Elephas maximus indicus: one gene and its partners. The protein of the gene in region 1 binds, or shares a complex with, the protein of each later gene. Links are inferred from orthologs where the notes say so. Each region holds a gene or a part of one and is shown on either strand. Other genes may lie near its edges. The genes, in order: TADA3, TAF4, TADA1 and MBIP.

Evidence for each region.
Region 2: TADA3 (region 1) and TAF4 share a complex: the UniProt entries of both Homo sapiens proteins name them as parts of the TFTC-HAT complex. The link is inferred for Elephas maximus indicus from reciprocal best matches to the Homo sapiens genes TADA3 and TAF4.
Region 3: TADA3 (region 1) and TADA1 share a complex: the UniProt entries of both Homo sapiens proteins name them as parts of the STAGA transcription coactivator-HAT complex. The link is inferred for Elephas maximus indicus from reciprocal best matches to the Homo sapiens genes TADA3 and TADA1.
Region 4: TADA3 (region 1) and MBIP share a complex: the UniProt entries of both Homo sapiens proteins name them as parts of the ADA2A-containing complex. The link is inferred for Elephas maximus indicus from reciprocal best matches to the Homo sapiens genes TADA3 and MBIP.

The regions. Positions count from the first base shown.
Region 1 is NC_064838.1:34,766,747-34,773,605, reverse strand, and holds the start of TADA3 (transcriptional adapter 3), read left to right. Parts: upstream 1-3,849; 5' UTR 3,850-3,971; intron 3,972-3,980; exon of another isoform or gene 3,981-4,184; intron 4,185-4,287; exon of another isoform or gene 4,288-4,345; intron 4,346-4,794; exon of another isoform or gene 4,795-4,931; intron 4,932-5,030; 5' UTR 5,031-5,056; coding exon 5,057-5,263; intron 5,264-6,859. Other genes in the region: ARPC4 (actin-related protein 2/3 complex subunit 4), read right to left, coding at 3,468-3,470. UniProt on the Homo sapiens protein: Functions as a component of the PCAF complex. The PCAF complex is capable of efficiently acetylating histones in a nucleosomal context. The PCAF complex could be considered as the human version of the yeast SAGA complex.
Region 2 is NC_064843.1:5,834,946-5,842,200, forward strand, and holds the start of TAF4 (transcription initiation factor TFIID subunit 4), read left to right. Parts: upstream 1-4,239; 5' UTR 4,240-4,268; coding exon 4,269-4,494; intron 4,495-4,569; coding exon 4,570-5,463; intron 5,464-7,255. UniProt on the Homo sapiens protein: The TFIID basal transcription factor complex plays a major role in the initiation of RNA polymerase II (Pol II)-dependent transcription.
Region 3 is NC_064821.1:207,693,368-207,701,027, forward strand, and holds the start of TADA1 (transcriptional adapter 1), read right to left. Parts: upstream 3,008-7,660; 5' UTR 2,843-3,007; coding exon 2,769-2,842; intron 1-2,768. UniProt on the Homo sapiens protein: Probably involved in transcriptional regulation.
Region 4 is NC_064828.1:48,670,990-48,677,923, forward strand, and holds the start of MBIP (MAP3K12-binding inhibitory protein 1), read right to left. Parts: upstream 3,002-6,934; 5' UTR 2,843-3,001; coding exon 2,711-2,842; intron 1-2,710. UniProt on the Homo sapiens protein: Inhibits the MAP3K12 activity to induce the activation of the JNK/SAPK pathway. Component of the ATAC complex, a complex with histone acetyltransferase activity on histones H3 and H4.

The DNA of each region.
Region 1 (6,859 bases):
AACCCACGGAACAGGGAGGGTCAGAATCCATAAACTCCCCCCACCCAAAGCCACTGGTAGTCTCCTCTCTAGCTAACACTGGAGCCAGACAGTACCAAGGGTGCTTGCATATGGGTCCCTGGCTCTCAGACACCACAGTGAACAGAACGGGCCTGGCCCTCAAAGCACTGAGTCTAGAGTGCTGGTGGCAGGGTTTTGCCCCCAGAGGACATGTGGCAACACTGCCGTATATTTGATTGCCACAACTGGGAGGCGGGGTGCTACTGGCGTCGGGTGGCTACAGACCAGGGATGCACTAAACAGCCTATGATGCACAGGACAGCCCCCACAACAAAGGCTCAGCCAGCCTCAAATGTTAATAGTGCCAAGTTGAGAAACTCTGTTCCAGACATAAAGGTGAGCGACTGTGTCCTCAATCTGTCCCCTGAGCCAACAATGTATAGCTCTACTACTCTGTGCCAGGCACTAAGCTGTTGTGGTCTGCCATCAGGTCGACTCCGACTCATAGCAACCCCCCGTGGCAGAGAAGGGCTCCACAGGGTTTCCTCGGCTGCAGTCTTTATGGAAGCAGACTGCCACGTTTTTTCTCTCCCACAGAGCGGCTGGTGGGTTCAAACCGTTCAGTTAGCAGCTGAACTCTTAACCATCGCACTGCCAGGGCTCCTTACACACTGAAATAGGTGCTGGGGATTCAAGATGATCGAGACCAGCTCTACCTTCAAATTTCTCTCAACCTGGTCGGGGAGACACCGAAGTAAATGACTATGATACAAAGAAATGTGAAATAACTAGATTTATAAGTAATCCACCTGCAGAAGAAACTGAGTTTGATTTGAAGATAGAGATAGGATTAGCAGGATTTAAAAGCAAAAAATAGAACAAGAACGTTCCCAGTAGACCTTCCAGGTACATTGGCCTATCTTCAGTTCCTTACATTAACCAAGTTTTTCCTCACCCCAGGGCTTCCCACATGCCGATCCATCTATTGATAAGACATTTCTCTTCTCTTTGCCTAACTACCTTTCCACCTCCGCTTATTCAAGAAAGGCCTCTCCACTGTATTCAATCTCATGTCTCAGGTTTTCCTCCTTTATAGTATTTATTACAATTCATGATGGCACATTCTTCTTGTCTTTTGTAGTTTTTCCTTCACAAACTCTAAGCCTCATGAGGGAAGAGACCGTGTCTGGTTTATTCACAGCAATATATCCTGCATCTAGCTCACTACCTAACACAAAGAGCCTTACTCATTCTCTGTAGGGTGAATGAATGACAGCGATAACGTCAGCAGTATCTAACACAAAGAGCCTTACTCATTCTCTATAGAATGAATGAATGACAGAAATACCGTCAGCAAAGTTAGAATGACACAAAGGGGTATTAAGAGTTCCAGAAGTGGTAATGACTACAATGTTGCTGTATATGGGAATTTGATTCTGTAAAAGAGGTGGCAAGATCGTGGAGATTTTCAAATGCCAAGTTACTGAGTTCAGCTTTTTTGGGGCAGTAAGGACTGTTGGGGCTTTCTGAGGAGGAAGTTACATGACTGCAGCTGCATGGTGGCTCTGCAGAGAATGGATTAGAGGGGGAAGTGAGACATAACGCAGAAAGGGGTATTTAAGAAGTGCTGTTGAGAGCCTGGCCTGGGGCAGTGGAGAAAGAGGGTATCACAGAGATTAGACTAACAGATGTAGAGCATAAGAGGATCAAACAACTGCCCAAAACTGTGCTCCCATATGATGGAACACTATACATGAATGACTTCCAAATGTATTATGGGAAGTGAAAGAAGCCAGACTAAAAAGACTACAAAATAAAGAACTCCATTTATACGACATTCCGTAAGAAATAAACCTATACAAAAAAAAAAAAATCAGCAGTTGCCTAAGGTGGGGGGGAAGGAAAAGACATTATAAAGGGGCTTAAGGAAACTTTTTTGAATGACAGAAATGTTCTAAATGTTGACTGTGGTAGTGGTTACATGCCTGTGTTTGTCTAAATTCACACATGGTAAAAGCCACCACCTGTCAATTTGCTGTACTACTGCATCGGTATTTGAAATACCAGAAGGGGCACCCATGATAGACAGGTTTCAGTGGACTTCCAGACTAAAGAAGACCAGGAAGAAAGGCCTGGCGATTTACTTCCAAAAACTAGCCAATGAAAACCTTATGAATCACAAAAGAACACTGTCCAACATGTCATCAGGATGATCAACAGCTGAAAGAGAACATCACGTTTCGTGAAATAGAGGGCCAGCAAGACCCTCAGTGAGATGGACTGGCACAAGAACTGCAATGATGGACTTGAACATGCAGATGATTGTGAAGACGACGCAGGACCAGGCAACATTTCATTCTGTTCTGCATTAGGTTGCCTTGAGTTGGAGTCCATTCGACAGCAGCTACTTATCTATCTAAACCTAAAAACGGTGAATTTTAGGTGGCCCGCCCCTGCCCTTTCGTTAATAAAATAGGCATAGTTTTTTTCTAATACCTCGATAAACTTGCTTTAAAAGAGCCAATTACAAGAGTTAAAAAAACACACAAAACCTCGCAGGTTCTAGCTGAGGTCCGAGAGGACACAAAATTAGGAAAGAGAACACAGGTGAAGATCAAGCAAGTTTAGGAGGGTAGATGAGTTTTGATCTGGAGATCTGATTTCCAGGTATGTTCAAGATTTCCAAAAGAACCTTGATAGAGAGGCCAGAGCAAGGGAGGCAGATTCAAGACTCACCAAATACACAAGGTCACTGAAGCCATGAGACTACACAGGTGTCACCAGGAAGTGTAAAGAGAGGAAGGTAGTGAGCCAAAGTCACAACTCCCAGAAACGACCACGTTTATCAAACGGAAGATCTCCAAGGAGGGAGGGATCAGCAGTATCATATCCTAAAGTAAGGCTGACACTGTTCAGTTCTGACCAGGGCCGGGCCTGAGAGGAAGCAACACAAACGGATCCTTCAGTGGGGTAGCAGCAGCGCTGGGGTACCAAGAAGAGTGGATAAGGAAGTGTGAACGCCTCCTTTGGGAAATGGTGGGGTCAACTGGCTAGGAGACGAAAAGTTATGTGTACTTACTGCAGTTCTACTATGGGTGGGGAGCTGGCCCTTCTACATGCCTCAGCGGCCCTACTACGGGCTATGAGGCCTACTACGTGTCTGCCTTCCACAGGCCTAGGAGGTCCCACTTCCGGCTTCCTCCCTGCCTCGAGTATTCCCGACCTGCTCCGGGAGCCGGACCATGAAGCGACAGGCCTGCTTCCTACCAGGGCGTCCCCCTCAACCGCTCACCTCCTCCTCACAGCAGCCCCCGCCCCACCCTCTTTCTCCCAGCCCCATCGCGCCCCCACACTCCCCGGTATCCCTCGGCCCCGCGCCTCCTCTGCTGCAAAGCTGCGTCTCCCCTAGACCCAGAGCTCTGAAGCAGAACGGCGGGGGTCCCTGGCCCGGGTCCCGGCTCTCTCACCATCGCGGGCTCTGGCTGCGCCGGAAAGCGGAAGTGCGGAAGTGGCCGGCCCAGCGACGCCTGCCCTTTCTCGAGAAGCGCAGCCGCAGTCTCCGCCCGGACTTCCGGACGATACTATCTCCGCTCCAGAGCGGGGGGAGGAGGATCCTAGGAACACTTAGATCCTTGGCAAGTTTTCCCGCTAGAACTATCATGGTATTGGACTACGGAAGTTGCAAATCGAAACTCAAGCTTTTCCAGGTATCCATATAGTTCTCGCTTATGCCTTTGGCCTTCTTGTCGCCTTAGCCACAATCTCTTCCTATAGTTATGCAATGGTACATCCCAGTCTCAGGTTGGGCACCATATTAGGACAGGGTGAGGAGGTGAATCCTTTCGTTCCTTCCGGTTCTGCGCCCCTATCCTTTCTCCCGGCTCCTCCTACCTGCAGCCCCCGGGACTAACTGCCGCCTGGCGCCGAGATCCCGGCCGCTGAGCCCCGCCCCTAGCCCCAGGCTTTCTAGGGTACGCCCTAAGGGTACCATTCCACCCGCAGTGGCCTTGCTGGCGGTCTGCACCCCCTCTTGGAGCCACAGTGGGATTGCCCGAGCCGTCTCCCCGCCCCCGGGCGAACTGCAGGGGGCCCGCCCATCGCCAGTTCCGGGGCGGTTGCTCCCACCGACCGGAACTCCTCTCCCCCTCCCGCGGCCCCGGGCCGTAGGAGGCAGCAGTGAGGAGGTAGAGGGGGCGGGGGCCGCGTTAGAGGGTACCTAGAGGGCGGGCACGGGGCGACCCATGGGTGAAGCCAGTCATTATAACAGTCCCACTTTTTCTGTGCCAGGCACTGAGCTGAGCTCTTGACGGGCCTCATCTCTTAATCCTCAGAACATCCCAGGGAGGTATGTACTGTTGTTATCCCCATTTTACAGACTGGGAAACTGATTCAGAGAGACAAATAGACTTGTCTTCTTTTGTCCCCATTTTACGGATGGAAAAAGATTAAATAACATGTTCAGGGCCACAAGCAGAGAATGGTAAAAGCTGAGCTTGAACTCAGGGCTGCTTGGGTACCCAGCGCACATTCCTGACACTATCAGGGACATAGATAAAGAGAATTGGGTAAGGGGAGGTGGGCAACGGAGAGCATGGGAAGCACAGAAAACTTTGTAAAAATGAGATGCTTGGAAACCAGGAGAGATGAGACAAAAAGGAACAGTGTCAGGAAAACAGGGTACATTGTATTGTTGTGATTAGGGCCACAGACATGAGACTTCCTGGGTTCAAACTGCATTTCTGTAAGCTTAGGCCTGTGCCCACCCTTACAGAGTCTCAGTTTCCTTGTCTGTAGAACAGAGATGACAATGGTTGTTGCTCCTGGGGTTGGGTGATGAATTCCACAAGATAAGCCTATAAGTACTCTGCACCTAGTTTGGTACACAGTGGGTACTCTGTGAGTAGGAGCTGAGCCACCAGCATTGTCAGAAGGTACTGAAATCTGACTTCCTTGTTGAAGCTCTCTCTAGTGGAAGGAGCCCTTGGGCTTTTCTCGTGACAGTTTGTCCCTCGTCAATCTTTACTCTCCAGCTACACAGGGCTCCGTATCCTGGGCCATGAGTGAGCTGAAGGACTGCCCCTTGCAGTTCCATGACTTCAAGTCTGTGGACCACCTGAAGGTCTGTCCCCGCTACACGGCAGTGCTGGCCCGCTCCGAGGATGATGGCATTGGCATTGAGGAACTGGACACCCTGCAGCTGGAGCTTGAGACTCTGCTCTCCTCTGCGAGCCGGCGCCTACGGGTGCTGGAGGCAGAAACCCAGGTGATACCCCACCTGCTGGACCTTGTCATGGAGCGGGGGGATTGCCAGGGGTGGACTGTGACAAGATAGCAGGATGGGACATTGAGTTAGCTCCACCTGCTGGGGCTTGGGGTACAGGGCCTTATGGGGGTGTGTAGACTAATACAGGACCCAGCACGTTGGGGGTTGGGAGGTAGAAGGATGGGACGTGGGGGTAAGGTAAAAGCTTAGTGAATTACAGGTTTTGCAGTTTATGAAGATCATGCACATTCATGCGTATTGTATCTGCAAGATTGTGCGTGATCCTCATAACTTGCAAGATTTATAATTCACTAAGCATTTATTGGAAACTCTGGTGGCATAGTGGTTAAGTGCTACGGCTGCTAACCAAGGAGTTGGCAGTTCGAATCTACCAGACACTTCTTGGAAAGTCTACGAGGCAGTTCTACTCTGTCCTATAGGGTTGCTATGAGTCAAAATCGACTCGGTGGTAATGGGTTTGGTTTTTTGTTTAAGCATTTATTTACCCCCCATTATGAGCTGAAGGAGCCCTTGTAGTGCTGTGGTTAAAGCACTCGGTTGCTAACTGAAAGATCAGCAGGTCGAGCCCACCAGCCACTCCTAGGGAGAAAGATGTGGCAATCTGCTTCCCTAAAGATTTACAGCCTTGGCAACCCTAAGGGACAGTTTTACTTGGTCCTGTAGGGTCCCTGTGAGAGGGAATCCACTCCAGGGCAATGAGTTTTTTTCTCGTTTTGAGTCATGTGCTAATAATTAAAGGAGTAATTAAGACAATTCTGGTCCTCAGGCAACTCGCCAGTTAAAGGGTGGGGGAGGTCAGACACGTACCAGATAACGTGTTGTAGTTAGGGATACTAGGAGAACCGGAGCAGGGAGATCTGGATTTGAATCCTGGACTGAGCTCTTGCTACTGTTGTTGCTTCCTAGTTATGTGACCTTCAAAAAGTTACCTCACGTTTCTGCTGAGCATCCATTTCCCCGTCTGCAAAATGGGCTCAGTAACAGGACCTACCTAAGAGCATTAAAAAAAAAAAAAAAAATTTTTTTTTTTTTAGTGAGGATAAAAAGAATTCTTGCAAGGACTCAGCTCTATGTCTAACACTTAGGAAGCATTTCAAGTGTTATTTATTGACTCTACTTTGATTATTTTTATTCACTATATAAATGTCTCTCAAGTCCTATGTCCCAGGCACCATGCCAGATCCTGGGCAATGGAGATAGTGAAGATGAGCTTCCAGTCTCTAGTAGTTTATAATCTAGCTGAAGTGAGAGGGTGTGCCATATTCCAGTATGACCAAGCAACATGTTTGGGTCTGCAGTGGAGGTCTGAAGCACCAGTCTCACAAAGGAGGGGGATGCCATTTCCACTGGGCCTCACAGGATATATAGATGTAACTTGTGGCCCTTGGGAATCCATGATAGATTTTGAGCAGGGCTGTGGCACAGAGTTATATTTGATCATCTAAGAAGTTGAGTGACTGGTATGATGAACACTTCCCAGCTGTGGTGACGTTTGAAATAAAAGGTTGCTGGGAGACTTGCTTGCCTTCGCCAAAAAGTTACCACCAGAATACTTCCCCAGGGTTAACATGTCCT
Region 2 (7,255 bases), on another chromosome or scaffold:
TGAGGTGCCTTAGGGCTCCCCTTACTTGAAAGTAAGGCCATTACTTGACTGCAGTTTGGGATGGCAAAGGAGACATTAGGGAACATCGACCTGCTGGAGTGAGGTTAAGGAGGGCAGTTTCCCTCCTGAACTTTGAAGTAAGCTCCTCTCTGAGTTAAACCAGTTACACCCATCCACAATGGCTGCAATTAGCCATTTATGGCAGTAGGCCAAGAGACTGTTGTAAATGAGTCACTCAAGAGTTTGCAGACACCCATGGCCCCCATCAAGGAGATCTGGGTCAACTTCAGAGCAGAAGCCAGCCAGTCTGTGGTTATAATTTAGTGAGTGGACTTCTAATCAGTGATGTCCTACTATCATTAGAGAGAGGGACCAGAGGGGCTGGTCAGCCGGGGCAGCCTGAGCAGAACTTTGGAGTCCAGGTCCCAGGTTTCTTCAATGCCAGTTCTGCCCCCACTGGGAATGTCTTGGGCCATTTACTTAACCTTTCCAAGCCTCGGCTCCCTCCTCTGGAAGAGGCTAAACCTGCCACACAGTGAGTGCTGTTGTTATTGGAGGCCACCTGAGACTGTCCCTGGTGAGAGAGTCTTGGCAAGAAAGAGCCAGAAAGGGGACTGTTGAGATGGGTGGGCTCCACCCCAGATCTACCCATGAGGCTACTGCCTAATTCTCCAGGTTCCCCTGCCTGCTTCCTGGGGCAAAGGGGCCATCGGGCCGAGTGCCTTCTGACCTCTGAGAGGCCTTCTCCCTGTGAGTGGACAGACTGGCCATCTGCATTTGCAGATCAGTCATGAGACATGTTCACAAAGCTGTCCTGGCAGGCGGATCTGTTCTCGAGCATCCCTGTCTGCAGGGCTGAGGAGTGCTGCTGGCTGGGGTGGTGAAGTCCTCCAGGTGAATGGCCATCTAGCCATGTTTTTTTTTAAATTTGTTTTTATCATGTAATATTGCAGACAGAGAATGAAAGTATAGGTGACATGCCACTGCACACCTTCCCCACAGCCCAGCATTGAAACCATGGAGTCTTGATAAAACTTGTATTTGTGTGTCTCATGCTTTTTCCTCATTTTATTGCTTAATAAATTAAAGGCCCCACAAACCTGCTGGCCTGGGAAGCAGCACTTATGCTCACAGCCTGGCACATTTGCCAGTAGCGAGGGTGTGCAGCCCTGGGATCTTAACTCTCTTTTGTAGCAAACCTGACCCATGTTCCAACGCAGCATTTGTGGTCACATATCACACGTGTTTCATCCCTCTCTCCTCTTTTCACGCTAGATGTGAGTTTCCCTGCAAACCACAGAAGCCAAGATGCTTTGTGGCCCCAAGTGAAGCCAGATGGAAATGGTCAGAGGCACTTGGCCTGAGTCCCCAGGGCGGAAGAGTTGGCGAATATTCGCCCACCTCTGCCCCATCAGGAGAGAACTGCTGGGTGGGCAGTGCTCTCCAGGTGAAGCAGAGCTGACCTCTCAAAGTGTGCTGTCTGTCTGGGGAGTAGCAGAAGACCCTCCGGGAAGGGAGGTGAGCTGGGTGGGTACAGAGCCATGACCTTACTACACTTCCTGCGACTGCTGGACTTGAGGTTGTTCCGGCAGACTCTGACGTGACGTCGGGAAATGTATCGATGCTGGAGCACACCCTGACTAGGAGAAGCCCCCAGGCAAGCCTGGTGGCAGAAGGCTGGTCAGACGCTGAGCTGGAGGCCAGCCCATATGGAGCCCAGCTGGCTGGAGGGAACTGACAGGAGCAAGGCCTCAGTGCTGAGCACCCACTGTACCCCAACTCACCCCATGTCTTCACCTTTCCTTTAGCAGAGCTCTCACTCCTGCATTGGCAGACCTGCAGATGTGAGAGCCCAAGTTCCCTGAGCCTGTGACGGGGCCTCACCCTGGTATGGTGACACCTTCATGGGGCACTGAGTCCTGCCTGTGGACTGGCTGCTGCTATTCCTCTGCTCCTGACTCTAAATTCTGAGGGGCTGCACACGGGGCTGGCACCAGGCAGCTGATGGGTTTTGTCTGGTCTACTTCAAAATGTTCTAAATAGTTGTCAACATTTAAAAATTGAGAGATTTTCACAAGACTCCATATTTCTTCTATTGTTTGAAGATTCAGACCACCTGCCCTGCTGAGGTCTTCTTAGCTCCCGGCTGCCCCTTGGATACTGGGACAGGTCCCCAGTGGTCAGTCCCTGGTGCACCCTGGGGCCTCCTCAAACCCAGCTCATTTTATTCCTCTACTTTCCTGCCTGACCTTTCTACAGCAGAGCCGAAAAATACCTGAATGAATCACAAGGGCTAGGCTAAGATCTTTATTTGTTTGAGTTTACTTTCAAAGTTTCAGGATATTTCTGAAGCCTTGCCTTCTGGGGGCTAAAACTCAGGTTTAAAATTCAAAACACTCCCCACCCCCTGCCCAGACACCTTTCCTTGGTTCCAACATCCGCTATGATTATCTACTGCTGCTCTCAAGAGAAAAAACCTGGAGAAAAAATCGTGTGTTTGTTATCAATAGGTCGGTTAGGTTGAAAGGTTGCAATAGGAACACACACACCCACCCACCCACCCACCCCCTTAGGCTCTGTTTTTGAGAGCTGAGCAGTCTCTTTTGTGAAGGCAGTTAGAAAAATCATTTACTATGTCAACACTGGCTGTGCTGAGACTGGTGTTTACTGTGGTGACTGTCTCTTCAGCAATAAAGACAGGTCCTGTGATTCCGTGTTGCCAGTGACTGAGAAAGCAGTTCTCTGCGGAAACTGTTTTGGGCTTTTACAAAAAAAAAAAGAAAGAAAAAAATCAGAAAACCATTAAAAATCTCCAATAACACGAGTCTTTTGGTTAAAAAAACCAAAACAACTCAGAAAAAGGGAACTTTAATATTTTTGTAGAGGGGCTCCTAAACATCATTTTGGGTCATTTACCTCTCCCTCCCCTGCCCAAAGTAAATAAAGAGCAGAAAAGTACTTCCAAAAGCCATTGCTTCATACCAGCGAATTTTATTTTGTACCTGGTCTACTTACCTTTCTGTCTGGGGGAGGGGTCTGTGGTCATTACATGGCAGTCACCTTTGAGCCTCAGAGTCCCATCCCCCGGAGAACTTCGTTTATTGACTTAAAAGTGGAGGGGAAGGCCCACGGTAGTCCCAGCTGGAGGGTAAGCAGGGGAGTCCGCGCAGACTCGGTTCCCAGGACCCGCCAGTCTGGCCAGCCCCGCAGCCCCCCAGCCCCAGTTCCCACGCGTTCCCCAGCATTGAGGGTAGAAGGCTGCTTGCACCCAGCCGAGTGCGATCATGTTTTACTGCAGGAGAAATAGCCCTCAGGGTGCCAGCGCGCACGATGCCGGCCCGCCCTCCGGTGACCACCACCGGCGAGGGTCGCCCCTCTGTACACATCTGTCCCCGCCCTGCCCCCTCTGTCCGCCGGATGTCACCCATCCCGGTGATCGCGTCTGGCCGGTAGGCCTCGTCCACCCACTGGTGCCTCAGAAGCGGCTACCGGGGGGTGTCCAGGCGCTCTTGCGGCCCTCACGGTGCGCGTTTGGTGGTCCCTGCTTTAAGCGGTGCCGCCAAGACCTCGGCAGGCGGCGGGGGTCTCCGGGGCGTGCACCTGCGCCCCTCCGGCGGCGCTTCCCCGTGCGTTTGCCGGGGTCTCCCGGCCCCGGCTCCCCTGGCCCCCCGCCGTCCTCCCGAGCACCGCCGGCCTGCACGCCCGGTCACGGCGTCGGCCCGGAGCCTCGCCCGCTGGCGGGGAGCAATGGCGGCCGAGCCGGGGTGCTGCTCTCCGCCACCGCTCCCGGGCCCGCCCGTGCTCCCCGTGGCGCCCGGCGCGGCCTCCCGAGCTCTCCAAGCGGCGGCAGCGGGGCGGACTGCCCGGCCGCCCCTCGTCGCTCCGTCGCCCGCCAGCCCGCCCGCTCTAGTCAGCTTCGGCCGCAGCCATTTTGGAACGAGCGGAGACAAAGAGCTGGCCGCCGCCGCCGCCGCCACCCCCGGCCGGCCTCGTCCGTCCCCGCAGTCCGTCCCGACCCGGCCGTCCGCCCCCCGCACCCGCCGCCCGGCCCCGAGCTCCAAGCCCACCGGCCGCCCGCCCTCGCCCCGGCCTCTAACGCTTGCAGCCATTTGTCGCGCCTTTTAAGCGCGCGCCGCAGCCAATGGGCGCCCGCCGGGCGGCGGGGCGGGGGCGGTGCGCGCGGCTGCGCCTGCGCACTGGCGCCCGCCCGCGGCCCCGCCCCGCCCCCCCGGCCGAGCGGCGGCGGCGGCGGCGGCCGAGGAAAAAAGATGGCGGCGGGCTCGGATCTGCTGGACGAGGTCTTCTTCAACAGCGAGGTGGACGAGAAAGTGGTGAGCGACCTGGTGGGCTCGCTCGAGTCGCAGCTGGCGGCCAGCGCGGCCCACCACCATCACCTGCCGCTGAGGCCCGACGCGCGGGCCGCGGCCGCCGCGCTCGGAAACCACGCCGGGAGCGCCGGCGCCGAGGCCGCCCCGCCGGAGCGGCCCGCAGCAGGTAGCCGGGGCCAGGCGGGGCGGGCTGTCAGCGCGGCCGCCGCGCGTCCTCACCGCTCTCTCCTTGTTGTTGCAGGGCCCGGAGCCGCCAGCCACGGCGCCGCGCGCCCGCCGCCGTCCGAGGGCCCCGCGCCCGCCCCGGCGCCCGCCCCGGCCCCGGCCGCCGCGGGCCCCGAGCCCGGCCCCGCCGCCAGCCCCGCCGCGGGCCCGGCCAAGCCTGCCGCCAGCCCCGCCGCGGGCCCCGCGCTGCGCGCCGGCAAGCTGGGCGGCCCCGGCGCCGTGCAAACTTTGAATGGGAGCAGCGTGGTGGTGAACTCGCTGCGCGCCGCGCCGCCGGTCAACAACGGGCCCGCGGCCGCGCCGCCCCCGGCCAAAGCGGGCGCTGTCAGCGCCGCGCAGCCCGCCGGCTCCGTCATCCAGGCCGCCGCCGCCGCCGCCGCGTCCCCCGCCGCCCCGGCCCGGCCGTCCGGCACGCCCGCGGGACCCCCGGCCGCCGCCGCGCAGAACGGGAGCAGCACTGGGATCGGCGCGGCGCTGGGCGCGGGGGGCGCGCCGGCGGGGGGCGCCGCCGCCGCCGCGCCGGCCCTGCAGGCCGCCCCTCTGGTGAACAGTCAGCCGGCGCCCCCCGCGCCCCCTGCCGCCGCGCCGCCGGCGCAGGCCGCCAAGGCCGAGTCCCCGAAGACCTCGGTGCCCGCGGCGCCCCCGCCGCAGACGCTGCCGGCCAGCTGTCCGGCGGGCGCGGGAGCAGGCGTGCTGCTCGGGCAGACTGTGCCGCCGGCCGGCCCCCCGCCCGCGCCCGGCGCCCCCGCCGCGCTGCCCAAGGGCGCGGCCGCCCCGAGCCTGCCGCCCCGGACTCCCACGGCCGCCGCGCCCGGCCTCCGGGCCACCCTGACGCCCACCGTGCTGGCCCCGCGCCTGCCGCAGCCGCCGCAGAACCCCACCAACATCCAGAACTTCCAGCTGCCCCCAGGTGAGTGGCCGCCCCCCGCGGGCAGGGGCGGGTCTGCGAGCCGCGGAGTTCCGGGAAGTACCCCTACTCACTCACGGAGACGCTAAGGTCACCTGTGTCCTACAGGGCGGGCGGCGATTTATTTGGCTGCGGTGTAGGGGCTGGGGCTGCACAGGTGTAGTAGCCTCTAAAAAGGTGTTGTGGCAGCCCGGGCTAGGGCTGTGTGCATGTATGTACACGTGTGTGTAGGTACATGTATGTGTTTGTGTACACTTGGATATGTGTGTACATGCTCGGGTGTGTGCATAAATTACCTGCTTATGTATCTGTGTGTACGTACACCTGTGTGTATATACATGTATGTGTGTGTATGTCTGTGTGTGTTTATGTATATCTGTGTTTGTAGGTACTTTTGTGTGTATACAGGCATGAGTATACGTCCATGTATACTTGTGTGTGCTTATCTACCCCGTGGGTGTGTACACACCTCTGTGTGTGTAGAGTTCCTCTGACTAGGTATGTACACTCACGTGTGTATGTATACCTGCGTGTATGAGTGTATGTACACCCGAGTGTATACGTACATCTGTGTGTACCCGTGTGTGTAACGTACCTCTGTGTACGTGCGCTTGTGTGTGTATGTACATCTGCATGTAGGTACACGTCTGTGTAACACACCTTTCTCTGTACCTGTATACCTGCATCTGTAGGTACCCTTGTGTGTGTGCATGTACTTCTGTGTGTGCTGTGTGTATATCATACCTCTGCATAGTACACCTCTGTGGGTGTGTGTGCGTATGCATGCCCAGTGCAGCTGTGGGTTTCCCACCCGTGACGTCCTGGTCTGTCACTGCGTGTCCTGCATTGCTTGTTTGGTTGTGGCAGACTCGCAGTTGGGTGGCTGGCCCTGCGTGCCCCTGCCCCCATGGGCAGCAATAGCAGCGATTGCAGGGACAGGTTGTCCAGAGGTTGGGCGTCACGGGAGCACAGTGTACTTGGAGCTTGGGTGGTCAGGCTTCCCCTTCCTGGTGTCTGGCCTGTGTCCCCACCTGGCTCCTTCCTGCTCCTTTACCATCTGGCTCTAGAGGTCCCGACAGTGGGCTGGAGAGACCCCTCCTAAAGGTGCTGTCGCAGCAGGGTGGCCTCTCTCTGGGAGCTGGCGAGGTGTGCACTCTGCCTGCGGTGATGGGGCCCCCTACACTGCAGCCTCCCGTTCAGCCTGAGCACAATCCTCCCGGCACATGTCCTTCCTGGTCGCGTCCTTGTCTGAAAACCATGCTTGAGTATCATCTTAGCTGGACTTGTTACGCTGTCAGTATTTTCAGTTCAGCAGAGACACTGTCAGGACTGCCTGGTTAGTTGTGCAACTCTGGAAGCCGTTGGTGGTCAGAGGCTCTCCAGACGCTCCAGTGGGTCTGAGAGTGGTTCAAACCCAGAACATTTGCAGAGGGAGGCTCTGGGGTCAGCAGCTGCCTCAGCCTTCAGCGTCTCGCTGCACAGGCTGCCGCTGGCCCTGCAGCTGAAGTTTGACAGTGAGGGATTCCCTCAGCAGCCAGCCTGGGGCAGGTCTTAGAAGGAGTCGCCTCCTCCTTCCCATCCACTCCCCCAGCTTCAGGACTGTGGGCTCGGCCGAGGCTCCGCCCTCACGGGTCACATGGGTGGGTCCAGTTGTAGTAGAGGGTGGCAGTAGTGAAGACAGCACTGCCCATGCTGCCCCCGCCCCCCGCCCCCGCAGCCCCTCCTGCTCTCTGGAGCAGGACTTGTCGCTTTGGAACAATTTTGGAGTTTTAGAAGAGGAGGAGGGTTAACCTGT
Region 3 (7,660 bases), on another chromosome or scaffold:
GAGCGTCTAGAATTCTGACAAGTTTCTATCAGGAAGTCCTGCCAACATAATGCTACTATTTTCTCCAACAGCAAACCTTCTGGAGGAAACAGCCCAACGGCCAACACTGCCTAACAGGAGTTGGAAGACTTGCTCCCCAATCCTGGTCCCTGTGTTAAAGTGCTGTATACCCACAAACAAATGGCTATTTTCCTCAACAATACCAGATGGAGCTGGTCTACCTATGAAGATGAGGCTAACGGCAGAGGAGTGTAAGTGGGTCATACTACATCCAGGAAGCATTGAAGATATGATCAAGTCATGAGAAAATTATTTAGTACCTTTGCTGGGTGCTATGTACAAAGTAAGTTAGCTAGCAAAGCCTGTCTTTCCGGAAGCTGACACAGGCATCCGAAGTGTCACAGTCAGGCATAAAGGACATTGGGACCACTGGATAAATAACACACAACTCACATCCTGGCTCCTGACAGGCCTTATGTATTGCACCTAGCCCTAAGGACCACATTTAGATGGTCAGGCTATATAAACCAATGTTACTCTTGAAGGAAAATGTGAGAAACTGTATAGCAGTTGTTCAAACAAGAGGCACTTTTAATAGAAAGGAGAAAAAAAATCGACGAGAGAATGGAACCCAGAACACTACTGTACCATTAACTGCTCCTGACACAAAGGCCTAGTTTGATAGCACTGTCCAGAGGGATTCACGTTACAGATGCACCAAATTCAGCGTCACCTCTGGTACCTGACCAACACCTGCTAGTCAGCTTTGCTCTTAATGACTGCAGAGCGGCCAACTGCAACATCAGCGGCATCTCTAAACCTGCATGTGACTGATGAGCGGGGGATCACAGAGGTCACCACTGAATCTAATCAGGGTTAAAGTCAATCACACACACAAGCTACATCCTTCAGATTTACTGTAGTAGTAAGTACTCACCTTCCAAATATTTGGTAAGTATTCTAGATGTAACAGAGTGAAAAACACCTATTCGTGCTTAAAACAGGATATTCTGTCAGTATGACAAAAATACAAAGCTATAGTAATTAAGAAAGGTAAAAGTTGTCAATTTTACATATTGAAATAACAATTTTTAATTAATTAAACAAGAAAGGAAACAGACTGGAAACAAGAATATTAAAAGATAACTTTATCCCATTGCCATCGAGTCAATTCCGACTCGTAGCAACCCCATAGGACAGAGCAGAACTACTCCATAAGGTTTCCAAGGAGCTGCTGGTGGACTCGAACTGCAGACCTTTTGGTTAGCGGCCGAGCTCTTAACCACTGCGCCACCAGGACTCTTCGGGCAGAACATTATATCCTTTGGGAGTTAATAAATGTTTACAAAAAACTAAAAAATTATGAGAGAATAACAGATTAGACTTTAATACTAGTCTTTGTAGAAGCTTGATTTGTTAGCGTGTGTAATATTAACACAACCTTTAAGAATTGTATTTAGTGTTTATTTATTCCACCTAGGCCATGACTATCCTAGGTGGAATTCTGCATATCTCGTTAGGATGAAGAGCAGAATGTCACACCACCCTGAAATCTCCCAAGAAAAAACTCCAAAACTCACTCACGCATGACATCCAAACTAAGCAACTTCAATCTAGTCATAATAAAAAATACAAAGCAAAGAAAGAATATGAAAAAAAGAAATCTTTGGAGAAAAAGTATTCCCCAAACACCTTGCTTCCCCACCAGCCTCATGTGAAAATGAGCATCTATTTAGTATTCCAAATGCCGAGAACCCCGCAAAAGGCATCCAGCAGCAAAAACACAGATGTTATGATTTTAAGCACTTAAAACTTACTTCCTAAAATTTTGAAAACTAAAATTGCGATAACAGTGTTTCGAAAAATTTCAAACTCATCCTTGTGAGTCTCGGCCTTGGCTAAACATTGCTTTCACACTGGGCCATTCAGCATCTGACCCGATTTCGTACTGGGTCCTCCGCTATGCCTTGGGTGATGGATTGACTGGGCGCCTCTGGAGCCCTGTGGAACCCCTGTGAGAGCATCAGAAATGAGAAAGCGTGGGTTTCAATCCTGGCTGTGTCAAATGGGAATAATTGTACCAACTTCACATCTCTGTTCTGAAAATTAGGTAATACATTTATAATGTTTAAAAGGTGTTTAATAAACGTGAGCTATCCCACTATTATTTCGGCAACGTTCATGACTTATTTTACTCCAGAGTCTTTCTGCCTTCCGAGAGTGCTGTCACTGCTCCTTGCACACAGTGCCTAGTATACTACCTGAGCTCAATTAATGTATTCGCTGTGCACCTCGCACCTTCCCCGGCCGGTGGGAACTGCTGTCCCGCCCTTCAAAGCCTGCCTCACCCCTTCGCCTCCAGGACGTCCCCCTGGGGCTGGCCGCCCTGCGCGCTGCCCGCGCCGGCCTGGGCGCCTTGGGCTCCCGGTCACTGGGCCCCGCCGGCCTCGTGGGTCCGGCAGCCCGGCGCCGGACGCTTAGCGGCTCAGCAAGCCTTTCGGCGTGAAGCACGCTTCTCCCGCCCCGCCCAGGGCAGCGAGCCCCGGGCGAAGGCGCCGCCGGGGTCCCAGAGGGCACCAGGAAGGCCTGGCCCCTTCGGCGGGGTGAGTCTGCGTCGCCTGCCCGGCCCCGGCTCCAGAAGCCCGGAGGCCCCACCGGCCGGGACGCCAAGCTGCACAGGCCTCGGGGCGCCGGGGGGCGTCTCGGCCGCCCGAAGCCAGGAGAGGACCCGGGAGGAGACCCGGAGGCCGCGCTCGGGCAGCTCTTACTGTTTGACGTTGTCCCCCAGGGCCTCGCTCAAGTTCTTCTTGGCCGCTTCCAGCTCGCTCACAAAAGTCGCCATTGCTCCGCACGTCTCAGCCCGACCGCGGAGGGCCTGGCCGCTGAGACCAACAACCAAAAAACCAACTCAGCAGAAGGCCTGGGCCCTGGGAGCCAGTTCGCTACCGTCTGTCCCGCCCCGAGTCTCTCCGAAGATGTTTGGTTTCCGGCTCCGCCCGCCTTTCTGGAAAGATGGTGCCGAGCCAAACGCCGCTTTTTCCCTCTCCTCTGCCTCCTTCCGCCCCTTGAGTCACGTGATTCGCCTCACCTGGCTCCCGGCGCCCAACCTAAACGCACCCGCCCAGCGCAGCCTGCAGTGTCGCCCGGGCTGGCGGCTTCCAGCGGTTTCTAGTCTCTTATGAGTTGACCAGTTCCGAATTCTACCTGTCGTCCTTCTACCTAAAAGAATACCTTCCTCCTTCGGCTCATAAAGTAGATAACCCCTTGCCTTCAAGTAGATTATAACTCGTGGCAACACCATGTGTTACAGAGTAGAACTGCTCCATAGAGTTTTCTTGGCTGGAATTTTTCAGAAGCAGGTTGCCAGGCCTTTCTTCTGCGGAGAGCCTCTGGGTGAGTTCTAACCACCAGCCTTTAGGTTAGAAAAGGATCAAAAACAACTAGTTTTTTCCTTCATAAAAGTAGATACAGGATCAATATTATTTCCTTTCCTTGGGATTAGATTCCCAAGACCCGGCCAAGGCAGTCTTATTTTTTGCTGTTGCAATTAAATATGAATTGCTTTTTCTTATTAATTTTCTCACTTCATCACTTAAAATATAAGTTCCCTGAGAACAAGGATTTGTGTTTTGTTGACCTGAGTTCCTAGAGCAGTGCCTGGCACACAGTGGGTACTCAATATTTGTTGTGTAAATTATTTATGAAAAATTTGGAAAATACACAGAAGGGTAAAGACAAAGGAAAGAAAAAATGTCTTATCAGCCCTGACAAACACTTAAGTGGGAGACGCCCCCCCACCCACCAATAAATTATAATCATATTTTATGTTCAATTTTTTATTTATTTATTTTTTTACTTAATATATTAATACAAGCATTTCCCTGTAGTATCACATTATCTTGGTCCCTAGGTGTTGGAAACAATTTGCAATTTGCCACTAACCTGAAGCTTGGCAGTTAGAACCCACCCAGTGGTGTAGCATGGAAGATAGGCCTGGTGATCTGCTTTCCTAAAGATCCCAGCCAAGAAAACCCTGTGGAGCAGTAGAACTACTCTGTGACACACAGGGTCACCATGAGTTAGAATAGACAGCAGTGGGTTTGGATTCTGGTTTTATTACATTATCTTTATAACCATAATCTTAATAACAACATATTAAATACCCCACAGAGAGAATATATACAATAACTTGTTTTCTAATTGTTAGACTGAATATTGTTTCCATTTTTCTCTCTATTAAAAGCAATAGTATAATAAACTTCTTTATGCATAAAGCATTCTCACATATTAGTGGGTTAAATTAAAAAAAAAAAAAAGTTGCCACAAAGCATATTCCAATTCATGATGGCTTCATGTGTTGCAGAGTAAAACTGTGCTCCATAGGATTTTCAGAGCTGTCAGGTTTTGGAAACAGGTTGCCTTGCCAGGCCTTTCATCCAAGGCACCCGTAGGTGGGTTCAAACCGCCAACCTTTTTTTTTTTTTTAATTTTTCATTGTGCATTCGGTGAAAGTTTACAGAGCGAATTAGTTTCCCGTTTGATAGTTTGTGCACAAAGTGCTCCATAACATTGGTTTCATTCCCCACAATGTGTCCGCACTCTCCCCATTTCCACCCTAGGTTCCCTGTTTCCTTTTGTCCAGATTTTCTACCTCTTCCTGCATTCTCATCTTGGTTTGGGGGCAAATGTTGCCGTTTTGAACTCATATACTTGATTGCTCTAAGAAACACATTCCTCTCATTTGTTATCGTTCATTTTATGGGCCTGTCTATGGTCTGGAAACCCTGGTGGTGTAGTTGTTAAGTGCTACAGCTGTTAACCAAGAGGTTGACAGTTCAAATCTGCCAGGCGTTCCTTGGAAACTGTATGGAGCAGTTACCCTTTGTCCTACAGGGTCTCCGTGAGTTGAAATTGACCTGATGGCAGTGGGTTTGGTTTTTGGTTTGGGTCTATGGTTTGGCTGAAAGGTGGTCTCCAGGAATGGCTTCAGTTCCAGTTCAGAAGGGTGTCTTAGGGCCATAGTCTCAGGGGTTCCTCCAGTCTCTGTCACAGTAGTAACTCTGGTCTTTTTGTATGTGTGAATTTGATTTTTTTGCTCTACAATTTTTCTCCCATTCTGTCTGGGACCCTCTGTTGTGATCCCAGTCAGAGCGGTCAGTAGTGGCAGCTGGGCACCATCTAGTTCTTCTGGTCTCCAGGTCATGTAGCTTGTGGTTCATGTGGTCCATTAGCCCTTTGGACTAATTGCTCCCTTGAGTCTGGTTTTCTTCAGTCTCCATTGCTCCTGATGGTAAGAGACCAACGGTTGTATCTTCCATGGATGCTCTCAAGCTTTTAAGACCCCAGATACTACTCACCAAAGTAGGATGCAGAACTTTGTCTTTATGAACTCTGTTGTGCCAATTGATGTAGATGTCCCCTGAGTCTATGGTCCTTTGCCTCCAAGCCTAGGGATTTCATCCCTGGAGCTGTTTGGTTATGTCTAAGAAGTTGCCCTGATTGTGCTTCTTGTGTGTTCTATTGTTTATATGAACGTATAAGCACTACCTACAGTCATGTATGTAGAAATATCCACCACCAAGCCTATATCTATAGGTGGGTATGTTCCCTTACACCTTCCCATACCTCTCAGCATACCTGTCTACCTATGTATACATTTGTAAATTCATGTTTGGTGATACTCTTGTTGCAGGTTTGTCTACCCACCAACCTTTAGCTTAGTAGTCCGTTTCTGAACTGTTTATACGCCCCAGTGACTCCTAGTGGGTTGAATAGTGGCCCCCAAAAGATATGCCCAAATCCTAGCTCCTGGAACCTATGAATGTGGCCTTACTTAGAAGAAGGATCTTTGTAGGTGTCCTTAAGTTAAGGATTTCAAAATGAGATCTCCCTGGATTACCTGGTGGGTCCTAAATCCAACGGCAGGTGTGAGGCAGAGTGCAATTAGACAGACGGAAGAGGACACATGGGGGAGACGGCCATGTGAAGACAGAGACGGAGACTAGAGTCATGCTGCCACAAACCAAGGAGCATCTGGCCACCAGATGCTGGAAGAGGGCAGGAAGGATTCTCCCCAAGAGCCTTCAGAGGGAGTGTGGCCCTGCTGATACCTTGATTTCCGACTTCGGGCCTCCAGAACTGTGAGAGAATACATTTCTGTTGTTTTAACCCACCAGGTTTGTGGTCATTTGTTATGATAGCTGCTGGAAACTAATACACACATAATAGGACTATTACTTTAGGATTACCCATTGCTGTTGAGTTGATTCCAATTCATAACAATCCAATAGGACAGAGTAGAACTGCCCCATAGGGTTTCCAAGGCTGTAATCTTTACAGAAGCAGACTGCCACATCTTTCTCTCATGAAGTGGCTGGTAGGTTCAAACTGCAGACCTTTCAATTAGCGCCAACCACTTAACCATTTCACCACCAGGGCTCCTTACTTTATGATAGAGTTTCACAAATAGAATTACTGGGCCAAATGTTAGGAATCTTTATGATTCTTGATACATATTTTCAAATTGCCTCAAAGACTTGAAATAATCCTAAATGGCTTTTAAATCTTGTGCAGTTTTTCCCCAGAAGCCCCCTCAAGTTTATTCATTCATTCAACAAATATGCAGTGAGCACCTGTTATGTACCTGGTACTGTTTTCGGTGCTGGGGCTACAAAGGTGAACAAGACAGGTAAAGTCTTCGTCTCTGTGTCATAAAACGCCAGAGAAATTTCCATTTGTTGTTTTTTTTTTTTTTTTTTAAGTAGCCATCCACTTAAGCTTTCCATGGCTGCCTATTGACTACTCAATAAACTTGTCTCTCCCCTGGTTTTTGAATTTTCTCATGACCAGGACTCAGCCTACCCCTGCCCTCCCCACACTTACACACAGCACTGTAGTCACCTGACTTCCTATAACAAACCACATGACTCAGTACCTGTACAAACGTTCTCTCCTCTGATTGTTTTGAGGCTTACGGGTGGCTGCATCCATTTTTTTCAACCAAGTTCAAACATATAGATGAACCTATTAAGGAGACAATTCAACAGGACTAGCAAAGGACACAGCTGTTTGGGTTTATCTCCCACCAACAGTCTGCATCCCCATCTCTATATGCTGTGTGGTGATGGTAGTATGCTGTTGAGTCAATTTCGACACGTATGGACCCCATGTGACAGAGTGGAACTTCCACATAGGATTTTCTCCCAGCAAGCAGGTGGTGGGTTCAAACTGCTTATCTTCTGGTTAACAGCCAAGCAATCAACCATTGTGCCACCAGAGCTCCTTCTTACTTTAGGATAGAGGCCCAGAAATAATCTTTAATCTGTAATCTTTACAGGAGCAGATCACCAGGTCTTTCTACTGTGGAGAAGCTGGGGGGTTCCAATTGCCAACCTTTCTGTTAGCAGCCAAGCGCTTAACCATTGTGCAACCAGGGCTTCTTTCTCTCTATGTACCTATTCGCTAAGAAAGATATTCCTCAAAGATGTTCTTTTGAACATGCTTGACAACACGCATACCTCTATACATCTAAAAACAAAACAAAAAAACCATTGCTATCAAGTCAATTCCAACTCATAGCAACCCTATAGGACGCAGTGGAACTGCCCCATAGTGTTTCCAAGGAGTGGCTGGTGGATTTGAACTGCTGACCTTTTGGTTA
Region 4 (6,934 bases), on another chromosome or scaffold:
TAAAGACAAGTGGTGCATGAATTCAAATATAGGTCTTATCAGGTGTGACTATAAAAATTACTGTACAAGGAACCAGAGATGCAATGTATCCAATAAAAAAACACTATACTAAAAGAAAACTTTGAAACAAATTCATTGTCCTTTGAACATGAGATCAGAAGCATTTAAAGTTCACATTAGACAAGTTTAAAGAAATAGAAATTTTTATGTAGGCTGTACTGGCAAAGATTAATGCCTCTTAGTTTACATTCCCTTAACGTCTTTCATAAAGAGTTTGTTAGACAACAACTTTTGTATGGAAGTAAACTACTACTACACTTTTACAGGCCTCAAAGAGATCTATAGCAAGTAGAACAAATTTATGAATATGGTTTGGAGTAAAGCAGGCAAATTCTCAACCAAAGCAAAGCATCAAATTTTCTAGAGAAAAGAGTAACTTAGGGAAAATAAAAATAAATGTTTGGATCGTATTCTCGTTTCAATTCAACACAATTATGAAAGCCTTCAAGTGCAATAAGGATACTTGGTCTTTCAAGAAAGCCATATAATAATGTCATGAATTAACTTGAAAACTATCCTAATACATTCAACTATCTAATCAACAAATTTTCTCTGCATTTTACCCTATAGAATTTGTAGTGGTACACCATTCACTCAAAAATCTATATTAGTCTGCTATTAATATAGGCCAATTAAATATGCATTTTCAGTCAGTCAAAACTTCATTAATAAGACAATCCAAGCTAACAATAAACAATTCTTTAACTTGGTAAAACGGGCCATCCGGAGGCAAGCAATAAGGTTAAACTTGGCAAAAATTAGTACATTTTTCAATCTGGGATAGAAATACTTTTTAAAGTTCAATTTTATGCTTCCTATTGAAGAGAACCAATAATACAATGGCATTATACAGAATGAGTTTAGGCATATATTTTAAATCCTTCAAACCTGTTGCAAAAGGAAGCAGTGATTTCCCCTGAAGTGATTTTATAAGTATTATAATACTCTGGTTTTTATTCTTATCTTTAAATAATATGTCTCAAAATTGAAAGAATATTACCAAAATGATTAGCATTTAATTGACGAGACAATTTTATTTTTGACACTTGTATAAAAGATTCCCTCACTGCGTCATGTAAACTCACCAAATATTTATATTAAACATTTCTGACAGGTGACAAGAGTAGATTTTAATCACATCTCTACTGTACCTACAGAATACCTGAATGTTTACAATTTTTAAATGAATTTGAAAAATTCAGAACACGAAATTAGAAAGTTTAAATCATTCCTCAATGTTGATTTTTATAAATATTCCATTACTGAATCAGAAATACCTTCTGTAAATAATAGGATAAACTTTTTTCATCCTGGCATTAGAGTATGACTAAACTTTAAATTTCTAATAGCCACACCATAAAAATAAAAAGTTCTCTAACTTTTAAAACATTTAGAAGTCTTGGGTCTTAAGGCTAAAATGTTAACAATAATTAATCAAAAGTCCTCAAGTCTTCATAAATATTTTTTGGTCTTTGGCAAGTAACCAAGTTTAAAAGCTATATTCTACCTTTTAGCAGATTCCATTAATAATTGTTCCATTATACCAAGCTGAGTGTTTAAAGTAATGCTCTTTGTAAATCATGACAAGCATGCTAGAATTTTTTTTTAAATATTGAAATAACTTTAAAAAATTAGTTCTCCATATACTGAAGGCTTTAAAAAATAATTTCCATAAATTGGACAAATGCTTTATTTTCTTAAGAATTAACCGTTATCTTCAACACAGACGTCTGCTGTGTCTACTTGACCACAGGCATTACTACCAGTTCCAGAACAAACTTGTATAGCTAGAAAGTGTTCCATCTAAGATACAAAATATTTCCTTTTAGAAAGTAGGCAAATAAACATCTCTTCAGGTTGTTTTTCATTTAAAATTTGCTTTGAATTGTAATTGAAACCAAACAGTGAGTTGATCCGAACAGAGTAAGGAGCTCATTTCTTTCAAACCCAATTTTACTAAGACATTTATGCAAGTTATTTATCAGTTAGCCTAGTTAATAATTAAAAGAAGAGCTCTCATGCAAACAGATTAACCATGGGCAACCCATCCAACTTTATGCTGTAAGTATTTTCGATTAATTCCTTTTATTTTCCTCCCCGTCTGAAAGCGTAATAGATGCAAATGATGTCCAGAAGCAAAAAACAAAAAAAAAACAAGTGACTCATAAGAGCAAATCGACCCAAAAACGGTACAGTGAGCGCTTTCCCACAATCTCAGGCCGCACTAACTAGCCAATTTCTAAAAGGAACTGGAGGAAAAAGAACTCAGCGTCAGACGCCTCCCAAACCGTTAGAGAAGCTTTTCCGCATTCACTCTCTCCGAGAACCAGGTTTTCATTTACACTGTCCTCACTCACTCTACGGGAGAATAATAACATCCACTGCCGTCGAGTCGCTTCCGACTCACAGCGACCCTATAAGAGAACAGTTGCAAGGAAATCTAGTTTGCAACCGGTCCCTGCAACTAAGTCTGTGCAGCCATCCTCCTCCCTCCGCCGGGAGGCGGCAGGGGCCGGGGTTCCTCCCCCGGCCTGAGCCGCTCCCGCTGCCTGCAGCTTGCTGCCCTCGGCGGCCCCCGCCCTTAACTACAGGGAAAAGGGGGGAGGGGCCGTACGGTTCCCACGCTCTGCTCCCTCAGGTCACTACTCACTTGTTCAGCCAGGGTTCGCAAGGAGCGAAAGGTTTCGCAGAGCGCCTCTCGGCAGAGGCTGGGGCTGCAGCTCCGCTCCGAGCTCCTGTCACTGCTGTTCGGGCGACTAAGCTCCGTGGCGGCAGCAGCCATGACACCTTCCCCGGCAGCCCCCACCACTACCCAGGCGCGTTCGCAGCCCCCTCCCTCCAGTTTTTGCCGCTCGAAAATGACGTAAAAACACCGCGTCTTATTTAGATCGTGGTTTTTAGGCTCCCACCGTTTCTGTGTGACTGGCAAGCACGGGCACCAATCAGGTGATCAGCCAGTGTGGCGCGGTGCCTAGAATCGGGAGCCGGCAATTGCTGACCAGAGCGAGGCCGGATGTTGTATCTGGGATGGTGATTGAAGCAGGGGTTTAGAGTTTGCGTCTTGAAACGTACCTTGACTATTAGATGGTGTTTATGAATGTCGGTAAGAGGACATTTATCATTAAATGTTAGAGTTCGAGCCTCAGAATTACAAGTTGAAATTTTAACATGCCAGTGTGTAGTGGTCTCAGGAGAGATCGGGTTCAGGTCTAGGGCGGTGTCCGCACGTGTTTCTAAACGTTGGATAACTCACACAGAATTACCATAACTGGATAGAATGTGCTCATCTCTACAAGCTTGTTTAATACTTACACAAATTAACGCCAGTAATTTTTCATGCGGGGCAAAATGAGGATGTAAAAACAAAAGTGTTCCGTTGTGCCTTCGTTTTACTACCAAAGGAATGACAATAATGACTTTAAATCTGCAAATAATTTATATCAGGTTTTAAGACGTGCACCAGTTGCTAGTTTCTGGGTGGTGCGGTAGAGACGTTCAACCCTAAAATTGTTTCAAGGAAGTGCAGTGGTCACTATGATTCCAGCAGGAATTTAACCTAAGTAATTCCATGCAACACAAACTTTGAAATTAGGACATAAAACTGAATTAAACTTTGACCAAGTGTTATTTATCAAATAGCTTTATTATAAAGAAGCTCGAAGGACTTTGTAATCTTTCAGGCAAAGTCTATCACTAAAAAAAAAATTGTCCAACTGAAAAAATAAGTCTTAGAAGAAAGTTCAAAAACACTTAAAAAAAAAAAGCAGTATCAATTTAAAGACAAGAGACAAGGGACTTAAAACTCTTAATTCTAATAGTCTAATGCATTTACAGTACAGGGGACAAAGATGGAAACTTGTACAATGTGTATTCTTCAGTTTTAGAGGAGGCTGAATGAAAGGGAAGGAATAGGGCATCAAGGAACTGGGATAAGGGTAACCAGCTAACCGATAAGGGTAGTAGGGTTAAAAGAACCCTTTGACCTGTCCCTAGGGAGCCTCTTAATTAGGCTTTTATTTCCAAAGACTTGTGGGATCACCAGGCTTGACAGGATCTTAAGAAATCTTGCCTGTTCCCTTGTTAGCAGACAAGATATACAGCTGATAGTCCACTTATGTCTAGAGATATCCAGAAAAAAATTTCACAGTATCTAATTCCAAATTGAGCAACCCTCTCATTTAAGTCTCTCACCCCTTCTCTAACGCAAATATATGATTTCTTTGCAATGTTAGAATATTTTCTTTGACTCTGGTCCTCTAGTTAAAGGAGAATATTGTAATAGGTAACTACAAGTTTTTGTTTCTATAGCAAATTAACAACCAGTTTCAGGTCATTTATTATCTATATATGAGATTTTTTTTCAAATATGTAGATTACTGGTATGAGACACATTTAGAAATATTTTGTACATTAAAACAATACCATCCTTAACAAGATTTTGCTCATTCCTTTCTTTGCCATCACTGACTTTGAAATTTCAAGTTTTATTTGTTCACTTGAACCCCTAATACAAAATTAAATGGTGCCCATTTGATTTGTATTATCTCACTTCTCCATGTAATTTTGTGTTTGATATCTGGACTTCTACCTTTATCTTAGTATTTACTTTGGTAATAGTTGGGATTTGTTAACTCATTTGTAGTGTCTTCTTTCCAGGGATCTTTCTTATGCCTTCCTGAGGCATATTATTTACATTTTGGAAATTTTTCTCATTTCTTTTTTCCTTCTTATAATAGAAAATTCCATTTTAAATAGAAGAGTTCGTAGGCTGAAAAGATGTGGATTCCTTTGGCCTAACCTTAAATAGATATTTATAGATATTAACGTGTAACAAAAATAAAATGAAAGCTATGCAATTTAGAAAAGAATAAAGGAAATAATTTATTCTTTATAGGAGACTAATTACAGTTTATGAACTGGGTTGCTAAAAAATGTGCTGCCTGGTGGAAATGATTGAAAAATGTTGGTATTGGTGTTAGCTACAGAGTTAGAAATACTGTCCTGTGAGTTTATGCCAAGAATCAGTTGGAGAGGATAGAAATTATAGGTGAAAACTAGGCTATTTACCTTTTCAACAAAAATGTTCTTTATGATGAACTTTAATTCAGAGCACTATATGCACTTAACAGTTGTTTGCTGAGTGAATGTTATATAGATCTCTCCTAATGCAGAAAAGGCAAAACAAATAGTGTTTGTCGTCTCTGGCTTCCCATCACCTACTGGCGAAGTCCGAGTCCGTTATATTGTCATCTAAGATCCTTATAACCTGACTGTTGCCTAAGTTTCCAGCTTCATTTTCTACCACAAGCCATCTGGTACTTAATGCTCCCCAAACTGCTCTTCTTTATAGCCCTACGATTTCTTGTCTCCATTCTTTTATTCCTGCCTGTTGCTTCTGGTTTGCTTGGAAAACTCTCCAGTTTTCAAACTCCAGTTCAGAAATCTTCTCTGAGAACTCTTTCCTCATACCTCTCCTCATAGAGACTATGTAACCTCTGCTATACTTCTCCTGAAACTCATATATACTTCCATTATTGTACTTAGTGCTTCGATATTGAAATTTGAGTACAGTATGTATTGCTATTTAACTATGAGTATATTTATCATGTTCCTGTACTTAAGACTTGACATAGTTCCTGGCACATAGGACAGAGCAGAGCTGTCCCATAGGGTTTCCAAGGAGCAGCTGGTGGATTCGAACTGGCAACCTTTTGGTTAGCAGCTGATCTCTTAACCACTGCGCCACTGGGGCTCCAGGTGATTTATATGTATCATGTTCCTGTACTTAAGACTTAGCATAGTTCCTGGCACAGAGTAATTGCCCTATGTATGCTTATCGAACTAAATTTATTTGCCTAAGGTAAACATATTTGTAAAATGGAAAAAAAGAAACAAGCTTCCAGTGTTGGGGGAAAATTATAAAATATAGTAAGAATGCTATAAACAATTAATTTAAAATAATGAAGCATGTCTGTCATGGATTGAATTGTGTCCTCCAAAAGTATGTGTTGACTTGGTTAAGCCATGATTCCCAGCGTTGTGTGGTCGTCCTCCATTTTGTGATTTTCCTATGTGTTATAAATCATGATCTCTGCCTGTGGTTAAAGAGGATTAGGATGGGATATAACACCCTTGCTCATGTCACGTTCCTGATCCAATATAAAAGAAGTTTCCCTGGGGCGTGGCCTGTACCACCTTTTATCTTACAAGAGATGAAAGGGAGGCAAGCAGAGAGTTGGGGACCTCATACCACCAAGAAAGAAGCACCAGGAGCAGAGCATGTCTTTTGGACCCAGGGTTTGTGCGTGGAGAAGCTCCTAGTTCAGGGGAAGATTGATAAGAAGGACCTTCCTCCAGAGTCTACAGAAAGAGGAAGCCTTCCCCTGGAGCTGACGTCCTGAATTTGGCCTTCTAGCCTACTAGACTGTGAGAAAATAAGTTTCTCTTTGTTAAAGCCATCCACTTGTGGTATTTCTGTTATAGCAGTGCTAGATGACTAACACAATGCCTGTTTATCCTCCTTTGGGGCAGCAAATTCAAAGTGCTTCAATTTTTAAGTAAATATGTATAAATAGCCTCCATAACCATTCTCATGAATGATACCATATAAATTAACAATTGTACCTACTGTATGCCAGACACTTTGATAGGCCTTGAGGGTACAAAGATGGATCAGACAAGGAACCTCCCTCAAAGAGCTAGGCAGTTATGTCTAGTGGGCTAGGCAGATATATCTACCACCCACCTGTCAATTTGTCATACTGTGGTGGCTCGTGGGTTGCTGTGATACTGGAACCTGTGCCACTGGTATCTCAAATACCAGTAGGGTCACCTATAGTACATAGGTTTCAGCAGAGCTTGCAGACCAAGACTA